Lytechinus pictus: one gene and its partner. The protein of the gene in region 1 purifies or fractionates together with the protein of each later gene. This does not show direct contact. Links are inferred from orthologs where the notes say so. Each region holds a gene or a part of one and is shown in the gene's direction. Other genes may lie near its edges. The genes, in order: CDK5 regulatory subunit-associated protein 3-like and ubiquitin-fold modifier 1.

Region 1 (7,989 bases):
GCCATGCTCTAAAGAGCCTGGCACATTGATTTATGTATACTTCATTTTCATTATTTTTATCTCATTATCATCATGGCCTTACGCAGAATTTTTTCCGGGGGGGGGGTGGGAGGAGCAGGACGCGCGTAAACTTTCTCATAAAAATCTTGAGAAAGCGAAGCGACCAAGCTTGTCATTTGAGCTTGGTCGCGTCGCTGTCTCGCTTTCAAGATTTTTTTGAGAAACTTTACGCGCGTCCTGCTCCTCCCACCCCCCCCCCCCCCCGGAAAAAATTCTGCGTAAGGCCATGTTGATAATGAGATAAAAATAATGAAAATGAAAGTATACATAAATCAATGTGCCAGGCTCTTTAGAGCATGGCCGTATACAGAATTTCTTTCGGAGGAGGGGGGGGGAGCAGACGCGTAAACGTTCTCAAGTTGAAAGCGACACAGCGAAGCGACCAAGCTTGTCATTTGGGCACTTTTCGGAGTTTTAAAAGTGAAATACGAAGGCTTTCGTGCACACTTTTGGTGAATTTTGTGATAATTTTCAATAGAAAAATAAGTTTTTAAAAATTTAGGGGTCATCATGCCCCCGTATTGTCGTTGCGAGCATTTTGGGGCCAGGGTGAAATCGCCCCAAACGCCTCAAACAGACACTCCAAAATGTATTTGAAGTGCATTATTAGAACTGAAACTTATCTCTACACCAGGAAAAATTAACTTAACAAAAAAAGCAACAAGAAATATTTATAAAAAGTAGAAGGGCCTGTACAAGTACACTGATATTTCACTCTCTCAGCTCATATGCACTTGATCGACTTCCATCGAGGATTCGGGCTAAATTCCGCCCGCCACTTCCGGGGACCAACCAACGTAGTATTTCGATGAAGAGCACTCCGTCGATTCACCGGTTGTCCCTACCGTACACGCGCGCCTATGGGGATTGTGAACTGTAGGAAAAATCGTATAAAATTACACTTTTTGATATTTCTACGAAGACGAAGTTATATAGAAAATGAAGAATATTACAATCAGACCATATCCCTAGAAAATTGCTTCAAGAAATGTCATTATGAAGAGGAAATGGACAAAAATTTGTGAAGAAAAATCACGAAAAAGGAAATCGCATCATGAATATTCATATCATGGGCGGTCCCACATTTGCATGTTATAGCGAGTTTTCCATTATTTAATAAATAATGGCATTATTTAATAAATAATGGCATTATTTAATAAATAATGGCATTATTTAATAAATAATGGTTATTTGTATATAAATAATGATTATTTGTATATAATGGCAAACTGTAAAAATTGTTTATAAATAATGATTATTTATAAATAATGGGATATTGAAACAAAATTATTATTTATAAATAATGAAGTAGATATTTCATTATTTAACAAATAATCTTTATTTATAAATAATGGAAAACTCGAACATTAAATAATGATTATTTATAAATAATGAGAATAATGGTGCACTCGAAAAAATTATTTATAAATAATGAAGTAGACGTTTTCATTATTTAACAAATAATCATTATTTATAAATAATGAAAAACAAATAATCATTATTTGTAAATAATGAAAAACAAATAATCATTATTTATAAATAATGAAAAACAAATAATCATTATTTATAAATAATGAAAAACAAATAATCATTATTTATAAATAATGGAATGTCGAACTAATATTATTTACAAATAATGAAGTATTACTTGGAATTATATATAAATAATTAGAAATGATATTTTATATAATAGTAGTTATTTACAAATAAAATGTAAATTATATATAAATAATAGTTATTATTTAATAAATAATGATTATATAACAAATAATTGTTCTATATAATAATGGTACATTCGGCGCCTCATACCTCTATGCCCCCATCCCCTTCAAATCGATCCGTTTTTGTTATTCCGCGATACCATACCGTAGTAATCTCGACGACAAGGGGCAACTCATAGAGATGTATATTAGTAACGCTAGAGGGCGTACTTCGTCAAATCGCTGTGATTACGTGGAGACCGTCCGCCATTGCTCGATAGGTATTCGCAGCCTGCCATGCGCGTACAGTACCTATGGGGCATGTACACGGATGAGCACAGAACATGACAAATTGATGACATATGAGCACGAAAGCATATGGAAAAGCAAAATTGTAAATATTGCACTGGATTAAAGTTCAAATACAACAAAAATCTAGCAAAACTGAGGTCAAAAGGCCTATATAGGCCTATCTATAGCGCATAATATAGGCCGATACAGCTATAATACAGGCAAACGATTTAAAGTCCCAATTGTTTTTGCTTAGGTAAAATTTCGATACATTAATATGACTTCTATTTTCTAATGATTTGGAAGAGATGAATATCAAAAATAACATTTAGGCCTAGGTCCTGATAAATAAATTTAATGTGTTTTAATATGATTTGATGTACATTAACCTAAGAAAATTCATAGGCCATATCACAGTGTCTGATGCATCTGAGACGCTGTATCGAAAAAAAAACCACGATTGTATTTTTATAGTTCATAGTTTCCTAATTACTATTATGCTGATTGCTGATAATTTATTTCTTCACTTTAGATAATTGTTATAATTCATTTTCCATATATATCTACACAATAGGGCCTATAATAACTCGATCCCTTTTCCCCATGTCTTACACGCTGATGTAAACCAACATCACAAAAACTCGCGAATCATAAAATGACTTTTTATTGATATTTGGAGATGATTTACGCATTGATTCAGTTAAAAATTGATGATTTAGATTTCCTTTGCTGGCAACCATCCCATCATATTTATAAATATGTATATAAAAGTATACTTTCTTACTTGCGATCAATGTATAGAAAAGTTTGTTGACAGCAAAATTTGCATATCAAATGCGCGCATGCAGTCGTACAATTTTGCAATGTACAGGAGGCCTAATGGGGGGTTGGATGTTTATGTACAGTGTTATTGCCTTGCAAACATTTTAAAACTTCGGAGAGTAAACAAATCACAATGCGCAAAACAATTTTACTTTGATTTTCTGGAAAGTATAGACTTGATTCTCCCCGGCTGAAAATATGCTGATCGGCAAACTGGCTGAAATATTTTGTTTATCACCGTTGTTTCTGATCCTATAATGATTGGACCAATATCATGTGAACAAATCAAGGATAGAATAATAAGGAGAGGAAGAAGGGGGAGAAGGAGAGAAGAAAAGGGGCGGGATTATGATATATAATTTGTATTATACTATAAAGAATATTATTACTACTGCAAGAGTGTATAAAACTAATATCATGAAAGACATCAATGCAAACTTATCATAATTATGAAAACGGTTGCAAAATTGTGAGTACTAAAAACAAACATAATTATGAAACAATAATATTGCAAAAGTGACAATACTTGGAATAAGATATTAAAAATCCTAATTTAATCTCAAATTTGATACCTGCCTTGAAATTGTGTTAATTAACTGTGTCTGTGTCGCTTAAATAAATGAACTTTATGGCAAATATTTGTAAGCACTGGCACCGGCCTAACATATAAACAGATAAACACGCGTTTTGAATATCCAGTTTTGTTTTTCATTTTAAAAGTATAACTGAATTTGATTTTCTAGTTTTCTCCCTTTAATGTCATTTGCTGGCCTATGGACCTGAGTTTGGTTATTCGATCAGTTTTTTTAAAATAAGATTTCCATGGATGAACAAAATTATTATATTATGTTACGGCGTCGCGGAATGATTTTGAAAGTGATGGGGTGTATAAAATCACAATCATTTATTATGTGTAATGTTCATTTTCATTTCAGGGAGGGGTCCGGTCGCGCCCCCTGTATTTTATTTTGATCAGTATGTTAAAGCGAATTTGCTTAGGTGTGTTTGTTATTTTAATTGCACACACGGCCCCTAAAAAGCGAATTAAAACAAATCTAACTTAAAGTGAAGGGAATTAAAACTGTCATTTTTGAAAAGTTTGAACAAATTAGGCTATATTCTCGACATTTTAAATCAATATTTTATTTTCGGGCCATATAGGCCTGCAGATTTTGGAGAATTTATTATGTTCCTATAAGAACAAAATCAGCACGTTCACCAAATAACACAAATTTCAACATTGATGGTGTAACGGGAGGCTCACCAAGAACAATAATGAGATGCCCTTTAATAGCGCTTGTAGATCAAAACACTAACTTATACAGAATTATTGTACAACTTAATATATAAAAATGATAGGCCTATATTTCATACAAATTAAAGCAAGTTACATATCATGTAGGCCTATATAGAAATTACAAAATTATATCCAACATAAACATAGAATCAAAGGACGTATATGTGGGAAGGATGGAAGGAGGACGATGCAGTTAAAGGTAGGGAAATCCAGAGAAGGGCTAATTCACTGCAGTCTTTTGAATTAATTGTCAATCTTTCTATTAATGTCCGCTGTATGTTTTTATTTTTATATGATTGTTTATATGATAGTATATCAACATTGTTATCTATTACAGGCCTATAAACGGACAGGTAAATGCAAATTATTTAGAATTTCATCCCGAGAAATCAGGTTTTTAAAATGCCAAATTAATAGCATAATCCCCATGTAATCACTCTAATAGTGTATTGAGATGCAATTTGTCATTCATATTTTCGATTTTTATGAGGTTGTGTTCTTTTCTTCAAGATTAAAGGCCGGAGACGGCACCCCTTTTCACAGCGTTACAACGCACGAGCTATGGGTACATCCGGGTACTTTTGCGAATCTATACCTATCGAGCAATGGCCGCCACGCTCCACACAATCACAGACGTTAAGTACGCGCGCCTATGGCGACTCCGCACTCTAGCGTAGTTAGTATACATCTCTATGGGGCCGGGGCAACTCGACATATGCGACAAAATGCAGGTGAATATAAAAATGTTTGTAATTGTACCTTTATTGCTCGTGTCTTAGAATTTATTCTATGTAAACAAAGTCACTAATCACTTGGTTATAATTTTCTATGCAGGGAACAAAGAATGGAGAGTTGACGGCCCAACAAATCGAAAATCTCCCGATAGATATCAGCTCCACTAAACTACTTGGTATGTATCAGTCCCATGTGTGCATTTCTGTGGTGTGGGATAAAACAAGTCTCTTGAATATTTAAAACGATATCTAAAACAAGTCTCTTAAATATATTTCATATTGTGATTAGGATGGTATACAACCGTTGCAAGGCTATAGTTACCTTATTCTTACCATATATAAAAGACTTTGACACTGACCCTGCTGACTAAGATACTGCTGACATAAAATAGACAGTCATTTGGTAGGCCTATTTACTATTTTAATATTAAACAGCTGGCATGGCAGCCGTCTGTTTCGAGGAGTTTTTTAACATTATTTTTTTTATATTTCTCCTTGTATACAGACGGCTCACTATCGTGGGCCACCATAAGGGGGTTAACAATGCAAAATCCGCCTGTCGGGGCTCATCAATTTTTGTCTTTATTTCATAAAAATGTATAAAAAGAACTTGTCCAAAATAAAGATTATTATTCCGTTTTGGCCTGAAATGCACCAAAACAGGAAAAAATAAACTTAAAAGGGGAAAAAACAGTGGCTTACTTCGGAACAACCAACGTAACAGAAACCGAAGCTTTTGGTCTATTCTGACATCAGCGTTGAAGATTTAGGGAGCCATTGCCCATATTGAAAAAAATTTGAGAGTCATTTTTGTCTCGCCTGCATAGCAGAGTGAGACTATAGGCGCCGCTTTTCCGACGGCGACGGCGGCGGCGGCGTCAACACCAAATCTTAACCTGAGGTTAAGTTTTTGAAATGACAGCATAACTTAGAAAGTATATGGACCTAGTTCATGAAACTTGGCCATAAGGTTAATCAAGTATTACTGAACATCCTGCCTGAGTTTCATGTCACATGATTAAGGTCAAAGGTCATTTAGGGTCAATGAACTTAGACCATATTGGGGGAATCAACATCAAAATCTTAACCTAAGGTTAAGTTTTTGAAATGTCATCATAACTTAGAAAATATACGGACCTAGTTCATGAAACTTATACATAAATTTAATCAAGTATCACTGAACATCCTGCATGAGTTTCACGTCACATGACCAAGGTCAAAGGTCATTTAGGGTCAATGAACTTTGGCCGAATTGGGGGTATCTGTTGAATTACCATCATAACTTTGAAAGTTTATGGATCTGATTCATGAAACTTGGACATAATAGTAATCAAGTATTACTGAACATCCTGTGCAAGTTTCAGGTCACATGATCAAGGTCAAAGGTCATTTAGGGTCAATGAACTTTGGCCAAATTGGGGTATTTGTTGAATTACAGCCATAAATTTGAAAGTGTGTTGGTCTAGTTCATAAAACTTGGACATAAGAGTAATCAAGTATCACTGAACATCCTGTGCGAGTTTCAGGTCATATGATCAAGGTCAAAGGTCATGTAAGGTCAAAGAACTTTGGCCACGTTGGGGGTATTTGTTGAATTGCCATCATATCTCTATAAGTGTATTGGTCTAGTTCATAAAACATGGAAATACGAGTAACCAAGTATCACTGAACATCTTGTGCGAGTTATAGTAGTTTTCAAAATCAGCACTGCTGCTATATTGAATCGCGTGATGCAGGTGAGACGGCCAGAGGCATTCCACTTGTTCATTTTACTGGAGCCATTTTCAGTTTTTGAGAGCCATTCTTTTTTTCATGATTCAACGCATGGTTTACCATCGCAGTTTGTCCTGCTTGTTTACAAATTCATTTAATGTTTAACATTGTTTATTTAATTGACATTTACTTTTCTTCATTGTTATTGACTGTTAATGATGATTTATATTTAATTTTAAATTACAGGATCCGCGCCATATTTCCAGAGCACCCGATGGCTTAGTTCAGATTTAAAAAGTGGGGTCACCAAAAAATATGCTAAGATAAAAAAATCTGTGATTTTGTTCAGAGTTCACAAACTTTATTTTCTAGCAAATTTAGGATGGTATCTTCAAAAACAATAAAAAGCAACTTATTCACCATCAAATTATGGCAAGACAGGTGCCACGTAGCGTTGTGAAAAATACTACCCGGAGATATCGGAGTGTCGGTGAACTGGATACGCATTTTCTGAAGCGCCGACCCCGTGATTCTAAAAAGTCCACTCAGTTACACGTCAGAAAGCGACAATGCATAAAAACTGCAGCTGTGCTGGCCTGGCTTTCTGGCTACTATGCAGGCGTGGATGGGAGACTTGGATGGGTGCGGACGGGAGCAATTTTCATGTTGGGAGTCGCTCCATACTTGGCAGTTTTAGGCAGTGGCAAGAATGATTTCAAAAGCATGCGAGAGCGAAATCGCTTGTCGCTACCGTCTATTTTCAATGCTGACTGACATTGAAAAGTGCCTCTCTCTGTCCTCTGACTGTCCATATTTCAAAAGAATGAAGTTCTCAATGAATGACTTGATCTTGGAAATTCACCCTGCTGAAAAGTTTTGCTTGAAAATACCAGGAAAAAAAGTATGGGAAGGGTTCCTTTTGCGACATCCTCCCAAAGTGAAAAAATATTAGTTAGTGTGGCTATCGCAAAAGGAACTCTTTCCAAAAGTATTGATGAAAGTTTGAGGAAAATGCATGAGGCCTAAAGATAAAAAAGTCAATAGAATTTCTAGTTTTTGATTTGTAACATCATATACGAGCAGTTTCCCTTATGTAGATCATGTAGATCTAATGTAAAATTTATAAATTCAATTTTTTAATGGTTCTTGAAGATTAATTTTTTTCTTTCAGGAACTGTTGTGAAATGATAATTTGTCTGTTTATAAATTAAAGTAGACTTAAAAAAAAAAAAAAAAATCTTTTTTTTAGAAAATGATATTTAATTGATTTTTAAATTCACTCTATACACATGTAGAAACATGCTCGCATATGACATCACAAATCAAGAAATAAAATTCTCATAACTTTTTAAATCTTTGATTGATGTTCCTC
Region 2 (8,069 bases), on another chromosome or scaffold:
GTTATGGAAACAACCAAGGATTTTATTTGAGTTATGTACTGAAATAAGCTACTTATGTTCAAAGTAAACTGTAAATAATAGTAATACTAATGAATTTAAACTAATTTTGTATTGTGACAATTTTTAAACAGTATTATATAGGTGACTGTAAAAGTGGCATGCAATTTTAATAATGATTCCTGAATTATGTTTTCCAGGTTTTCCAGCTGACAGACCATGTTGACGGATAAAAAGCTTCATGTCATTGAAAAGGGATTTCAAGGATGGATTGAGAAAGAAGGTTGCAAGTACCCACCCCCCTGGTTTATGTTGCAATAATCTTTGTCATAAAGCTTGTGGACTGCCCAAAATTAATATATTTGCAATATACATAATATCATACTCTCACTCACCACCAGGGACCTGTTCATAAAGGGTTATAACTATTTTAACTTTGCCAATATTTTACCTATCATGATAACCTTGATTGTGATTGGCTGCTAACCATGTTAGTGGTACAAAGTTGGAATAGTTGTAGACCTATCTTTTTATGAAACAGGCCCCAGATTGGCCTACCAAATTGATCTGGGAAGGAAAACACTTAAATAAAATTTTGACAAGACAAAATTAGTATTTATTGAAGTTTATTTTAACTGTCTACAAACGTTTATTACTGATTGTATACTACATCAACATAATTGTGTTGCTATAGGAACAACTGTTCAACAAGGAAATTTATTTGAAATTGTAAATCTCGAAACGAAAAAAATTGAAGTTTGCGTACAATTTTGTCCACCTTTGGTGTTTTCAATGATTCTCAAAATATGTTGCACCGTTTTAAAAATGAAATGCCTTGCATTTATTTTCAATTTTTCATAAAGTAACAATTTCAAATGATTAAAAAATGAGGTGTAACCATAGCAACCACTATATATGTTCCAGAGAGAGAGAGAGTATTGTTTGGAGACAATATGTTTCCTGTGTGGCATATTACTTTCTGACATGAAATATACTAGTACATTCCTTTCTTGATTATAAATACAATTTAGCATTGGTATTTATCGCTAATTAATTCAGGGATTGCCATGGAATCATGAATTATTATCATTCCAATGAACCCATGCAGAAAACTTAATTTGTGTTCAAAGTAAAATGAGATGTTAAAACCATATGCATGGAAGTTAAGTTCTTTTTCTTGCATTTTCCAACATTACCTTTTCACACTCTGCTATTTGTTTAGCAAATTAGATGTTATTTGGTTGCCATGGTAATATCCAAAGAAGATACATGTATATAATACATGTTCAACACTCAAATACGGTGAAAAAGGTTTATTTTACAATTTTTCTCAAATCTATTCTATTTTGATAAAAAACAGTTACCATGGCAACAGGCAATGTAACATTGGTATTCATTGTTGAAACATTGGTTACCATGGCAACAGCAATCTTAGCATACCATTGAAGTCATACTGAATACTTATTTTGCATTTAAAATTGAATAGTGGGTCAAACTCACAGATGTATATCTAATTTAGTGATTTTCAACGATTATCTTTTCCAACCATCTTTTTATTTTTGTTTATCTAATTATGTGTTATTTGGTTGCCATGGCAATGGTGCAAGATGGTATTAATATATTTAGCAACAAGCACCTACTTTCAGCACCCTCACATTAGGGAAAATTCAAAAGAATTCATCATATTTTACATCTTTACTAATTTTTATCTTTTTTGGGGGGTAAAAAGAGGCCGTTACCATGGTAACAGGAAATCTGAACTATTTCAATGGCCTTAAATGTTTGTAAATTCTATTCTTATTGAATAAGAAACTTGAAATTAACCAAATGGGTAATTTTGCCATGTTTATCTACCGTTTACAGGGGAATACATGCTATTTTTGAGAAATTAATCCGTTGCCATGGCAACAGTCGAAGATGGCATTTATAAATTTGGCAACAAGCAGATTCATGTTCAGCACCCTCAAAATAGGGGAAATAGCACAAAAAATCAGATTCTACAGAAAATTTTTGGTAACCTTTAATATTATGACGAGGAGCTGTGTACTATATACAGCATGGGCGAAAATCATTTTTGAAAAGCACCCTAAACGGGATATCAGGAGCGGTAGTTTTGTTACCCTAAATGGGAAAAATCACTTTAAATCACCCTACAGGATCAGTAGTTTTGATACCCTAAAACCGGGACCCTAATCGGGATTTTTTTTTTCAATATTCAATTTCATACCGGCCCTTGACGGATAGTTTATCTTGAGTGTTATTTAGTCAAGCAATTGCTCGTTCGCTACGCTTTCTCGCGTATGAAGAAGTTGAACGCCTGGAGAGGGTAACAACACAGACCTCCTCATTGCCAGTCTTGTCCCCCTTATCATGGAACTAAATCACTGGTCCAAGGTGTTATACATGTTGATGTGATTTTATTTCGCTCGGTCGATCGCTACGCCCCTCGCATAACAACTGAAACTAATGGGCCAATTTTCCTTGTATTCAAATGACCAACGTCACGCATTTATCTAGAAGACCCCCCCAAAAAAATGAAAGAGAGGAAGAAGAACAACAACAACAAGATGAAGGAAGAGGAGAAGAAGAATTAAGAAGATGAAGAAGAAACAGGAAACGCAACCAACATCTGGGATTTGTTGATGTTTTCGAGTAGCCTAATCACTTTGAATATTTTTTTATTCTGTCATTTTCCAGCATTCTCTGGAAGTCATTTCAATCAGACTCTAAAAAGGAGTTTAATGTGATTGACTTGTATAATTTTAACCAAAGATCAGTGTAAATTGTTATTGTTGCAAATCTAAGCAATATAGTGTCCCTCTCCCGATTTTTAAAGCCTTGTATTTTTTTACCAAAAAAAATGAAAAGGTATAATCCCAGTTATTCAAAGCAATGCAAATATATCAAATTCAACACAAAACACTGTGAAAACAAAATCAATTTGGTGAATTTTGATTGGTCTGTTAGATGACACGTGCACAGCAGGGATGTGGGACCAATTTTTTTCCTGGGGTGCTGAAAGCATGACAATGTCTATTGCATGTCAGAATTCTCTGGCAAGCAAAAAAAAAATCAGCAATTTTCGGCCGTGACTCTTCACTCTTCCTCTGAAATTCACGGTTGTCCTGAAAACAGATAATGTCGGGTTTATCAGCAATTTTGGGGGCAGTTTTGGGTCTGAAACGGTCACTCTTTTAGGCTACTATGTTTTATATATCTTTTACATGTTTTAGTAGCCCCCATAATATAATCACACCACTGGCGTAAATCCCGGGGGGATGGGGGGGGGGAAATATCCCCTCACTTTTCGAGGAGGGGGGGGGGTGGCCTGTACAAACATCCCCCCCCCCCACTTTTTACGAAAGAAATGAAAAAAAAATCACAAGAGATAATTGTTTTACTGGTGAAAATTCTTCCTAAAATACCGCTTAACAAATAAAACAATATTATTGAATCATAAAAGGCAAATAAAGAGCCATTTCACCATTTCCAAACGAAATACCTTTGTCCTTATTATAACATTTAAGAGAAATCCCTGTTTCTTCCAATTCATCAATGTTGGGGTCTTTGGGAAGGGATTACGATGGAATGTCAAAAAATTTTGAATGTAATCTCTAATAAAACCATTAAACCATCATGGGGTAAAAAAGATAATAATATTGGAGGGGTATTTGCCATATGGACATACAGTGGCGTAACTACGGGGGGCATGGGGGCACATCCCCCCCCCCCCCCCCATCGGCTGACAAAAAAACGGGGAAAGGGGGAAAGGAGAAAAAAGGGAGAAATGAAGAGAAACGTAGTGGGAAAGAAGAAAATATTCATTATAATGTTATATTATATTATAATTATGTTATGTTACATTACAACTTTATAAAACATAATTTGCCCAGGGCCTACGTCTTTTTTTATTATTCCTGGTGCTCGCATTGTCTGTTTAACGAGATATATAATCCTGTTGTACTAAAACATCCCGTTTTCAAGTCAATATAAACCAAATATATTCCTAGCACTTGAGTTATCATTGTTTTATGTAGTGACATATGCTTCTTCTTCATGACTCAAAAGTGATTGCCCCATGTTAAGGTCTTCTTATATATGAAACATTTCCTGTACGTGATTACATTCGCACTTGTGGATTGGTGAGATATGTCTGCTCTTCATGAATTCCTAAAATCAGTCCTTAAAATGTCCCTTCTGAGATGAATATCAAAAATTTTCAGCTCGCGCTTCGCGCTCGCATCATTTGGTTAATGAAATACGTATGGTCCTAGTTAATTCCTACAAAGAAACCTTAGAATGCCCCACTTCAGGTCTGAATTATCTAAGTTTTCAGCTCGCGCTTCGCGCGCGCATTGTTTAGCGAGACAGGTACCTATCATGATTACACAAATTTGATTATATTGTCCCTTTTTAGGTGTGAATATAAAAAATTTCAGCTCGCGCTTCGCGCTCGCATTATTTGATCAGTGAGATACATATCCGTTTAATGACATTGTCCTTAAAATGTCTCTATTAGGTCAGTATAACTGGCAACTTAGCGCGCTTCGCGCACTCACTTAGTGATTCAAAAATTTTACTGGTGCCCCCCTCCCCAATGCCGTGACCCACGGTACGCCACTGTGGACATATCAATGACAATTCCTTGCATATCTAAAAACATGATTGCAAAAAAATGCCAAAATATTTCAGTCATCCCCCCCACCCATCAACACGGATTTACGCCAGTGAATCACACTATGTTCCGCTATCTGGACACATCAATTGGCGGATGTACCATGTACTGTTGGTGACGAATTGTGTCCAGCCTGGCGTTCCATAATTTAGCGCCGCGTTATGTTCGCAATGAATGGTGTAGGATCTTGTCAACTGATCATCTCTTCTACAAGATGTCGACATGATGAGATCCGAGATCTTGTCATCTGATCATCTCTTCTAAAAAATGTCGACATGATGAGATCCGGGATCTTGACATCTGATCATCTCTTCAAAAGGATGTTGACATGATGAGATCCGGGATCTTGTCAACTGATCATCTCTTCTGAAAGATGTCGACATGACGATATCCGGGATCTTGTCATCTTATCGTCTCTTCTAAAAGATGTTGACATGATGAGATCCGGGATCTTGTCATCTCATCATCTCTTCTAAAAGACGTTGACATGATGAGATCCGGGATCTTGTCATCTCATCATCTCTTCTAAAAGATGTTGACACGATGAGATCCGGGATCTTGTCATCTCATCATCTCTTCTAAAAGATGTTGACATGATGAGATCCGGGATCTCACCATCTGATCTTTTGCTATCATGATGTCGACTTCCCAAGATAATTATCTCAACATCTCGGTGGCACTTTTAAGCTTCCATAGTACACTGCATGCCGTCAGAGTGGTCAAACGCATGCCGTGTATTACTGCCCTCTACGTTCGTTGAGAAATAATACAGATCTAGAGCTTTCACAGCGCAGACTTTGCAGAGACTTTTAGAATGGCGTAAGTTCTTGTTTATTTCGTATTTGTGTTCATCACTTTATCAATTTACATAATTGAAATGATTATTCCGTAATTTCGTGTTATCTCTTTCTGTAGGTCGAAAGTGACTTTCAAGATAACGCTCACTTCGGATCCAAAACTTCCCTTCAAAGTGTGAGTAGTATACCGTATGTTCAGTTATCTTTTGTAACCATTGTCCCATATAGTCATAGTGATGTAGGCTACCTCGAGCGAAGTTCGTGCAGGCTCCAGACTCCAGAGAACAAGGTTAAATCAAAACCTTGTTCATAGAATGAGTGCATGCGATTGTGCAGGTCAAACAGCATAAATATTATATTATATTGGATGGTTCAGAAAATACCAGAAATATTCTAAGAGTTTGGGAAAATATTCCACTGATTCGTGGAATAAATCCTCACCTTTCACATTATTATGATGGTGGGCCCTAAGTCTGCGCACCTAACAATTTGAGTTAAGATTTAACATGAATTTCTTCTTATTTCACAAAATCTTTTGGATAATAATGTTCCTTATATTATTGAGAGTAAGTATACCAAATTTCTCATTAAAAAATGAAAGAAAATATATGATTTTCTTGAAAAAACCTTGGGCAATCATTTTCAGATTGAAAAAAAAAATGGTACCCCATGTCTGCGCACTCATTCACTTTGCACACGATTCGGAGATTTTTATGAGAAAGGCTGTATTTTGAGGCCGTCACATGAAATGCCCTGAATTCATTATTTTTTCACCATTTTGAGTCGGATTTTTTTATGAATACCTGTCTATGTATTGCATGTGTAAAGTTCATGCTCGTTGCGTATCTTCTTTTACTAGAATCGCGCAGATACGCGGGTGCGCAGACTTGGGAGACCGCGCAGACATGGGGGAACTGACCATACTATTAGTACCTAGGCCTAGGCCTATTAGCATTATTTTACGGTCAAATGAAATTTATCGATAATTTGGGGGTTTAATTATTGGACATCGTTTTCAGCAGTCAACGATTTTTGCCTATCTGCCATTTTGGATTTCAAGACCTCGATATCGTGCTGTTACATTTTCTTGCGCCCTTTCTCACCCATGAGAATAATTATTTAGGCCCCCTACGTGAAATCAAACTGGGTGAGGTAGCTCACTCACCCTTTTCCCCATAGGCATAGTAGGGTGAGCTACCTCACCCTGTTTGATTTCACGTAAATAATTATTATAATGGGCAAGAAAGGGCACAGGAATTAAGAAAGACTACTTTTTAATATAATCAGGTTAACAACTTTTTGAAATATATGCTGGAAAATACAAAATTTTTATGACAAACACACAGTCAGGCCTGGCCAGGTTCTTTGATCGTTCGTCGTCAAGAAATTGTTATAAGTTAGAGTTACCTGCTTTGTCACATAATTTCATGAACAATGTCAATGCATCAATCAATCAAAAACAAAAGATAAAGTTAGAATTTTTGCACAAGAAAATGGGAATGTATCATGAATAATAATAATGATAATATGGTCCATATAGCGCAGCTACCGTACTACAATTGCATATACTCTACGGCGCTTGATACTTGGTATCATATTATTACCCCGGCTGTAGCTGAGCCACCATACAGGTGCTAAAGCATTCAAGGAATAAATCCTACTGGGTAGCCATTCACCTCACCTGGGTCGAATGCAGCACAGTGTGGGTAAATTTCTTGCTAGAGGAAAACACCATGGTTGGGACTCAAACCCATGTCCCTCTGATTGACAGACGGGAGTCGTAACCACTAGACCACAATGCGCCCCCCCTGATGATGCATCTGGTCAGTCACTTTCACTGAAAATTTTGGTGTGAGCCAATCAGATGCAAGTATTTTCAGTAGCTTGTGAAAAGAAGGCAGTGAAAATCATTAATTTGTTTCATGAAATGTTCCCAAGATCCTCAGTCATTAATAATGTCATCAATAGCTTTATAAAACACCACCATGATATTTTTACATTTTCAGTTTCATTTTCCATTTCAAGTCAATTTTTATTTGTAGTCTGGCCATTACATTTAAAAGTTTGAAATTGTTTTATTTTCCTGCAGACTAAGTGTACCAGAAGCAACACCATTTACAGCTGTACTCAAGTTTGCTGCTGAAGAGGTATGTGATTTGATTGTCTTAGTCACTTTCAGTATAGATGAATTTATAAATCTACTTTAAAAGGGAATCCAACCTTGGTCATAAAATGTTGTCTGAGAGAGGAGAAAAATAGGAAAAACAGAATGGTGAAAGTTTGAAAGAAATCGGACAAGCAATAAGAAAGTTATGACTGTTTCATAATTGAGATCTCTAAAGACCCTAAAACTGTAAATTTCAAATCACATAGGCCATGTGGTTTTTTCTCAAGTACCTATTCCCATAGGGCAGTAATCCAAATATAACCAATGTAGCACAATGCTTTATATCCTCATGAAACTTTTGAAAGAAATATATAGTTTGAAATAAAACTTTTGAAAAAAGAATGACAATTTAACAATTGTATGTACTGGAGTATATGGGAGGACCAATTTGAAGTCTCCAATGGTACAGCAATCACAAATTTTTACAACTTTT

What was found.
Region 2: the proteins of CDK5 regulatory subunit-associated protein 3-like (region 1) and ubiquitin-fold modifier 1 purify together in Homo sapiens (co-immunoprecipitation; 3 studies listed by BioGRID and IntAct, with this or other methods). This does not show direct contact. The link is inferred for Lytechinus pictus from reciprocal best matches to the Homo sapiens genes CDK5RAP3 and UFM1.

Annotation. Positions count from the first base shown.
Region 1 is NC_087247.1:22,753,817-22,761,805, forward strand, and holds the start of CDK5 regulatory subunit-associated protein 3-like, read left to right. Parts: upstream 1-4,760; 5' UTR 4,761-4,862; coding exon 4,863-4,901; intron 4,902-5,004; coding exon 5,005-5,080; intron 5,081-7,989. UniProt on the Homo sapiens protein: Substrate adapter of E3 ligase complexes mediating ufmylation, the covalent attachment of the ubiquitin-like modifier UFM1 to substrate proteins, and which is involved in various processes, such as ribosome recycling and reticulophagy (also called ER-phagy).
Region 2 is NW_026974140.1:3,195,044-3,203,112, reverse strand, and holds the start of ubiquitin-fold modifier 1, read left to right. Parts: upstream 1-4,815; 5' UTR 4,816-5,486; coding exon 5,487-5,491; intron 5,492-5,587; coding exon 5,588-5,644; intron 5,645-7,558; coding exon 7,559-7,616; intron 7,617-8,069. UniProt on the Homo sapiens protein: Ubiquitin-like modifier which can be covalently attached via an isopeptide bond to lysine residues of substrate proteins as a monomer or a lysine-linked polymer.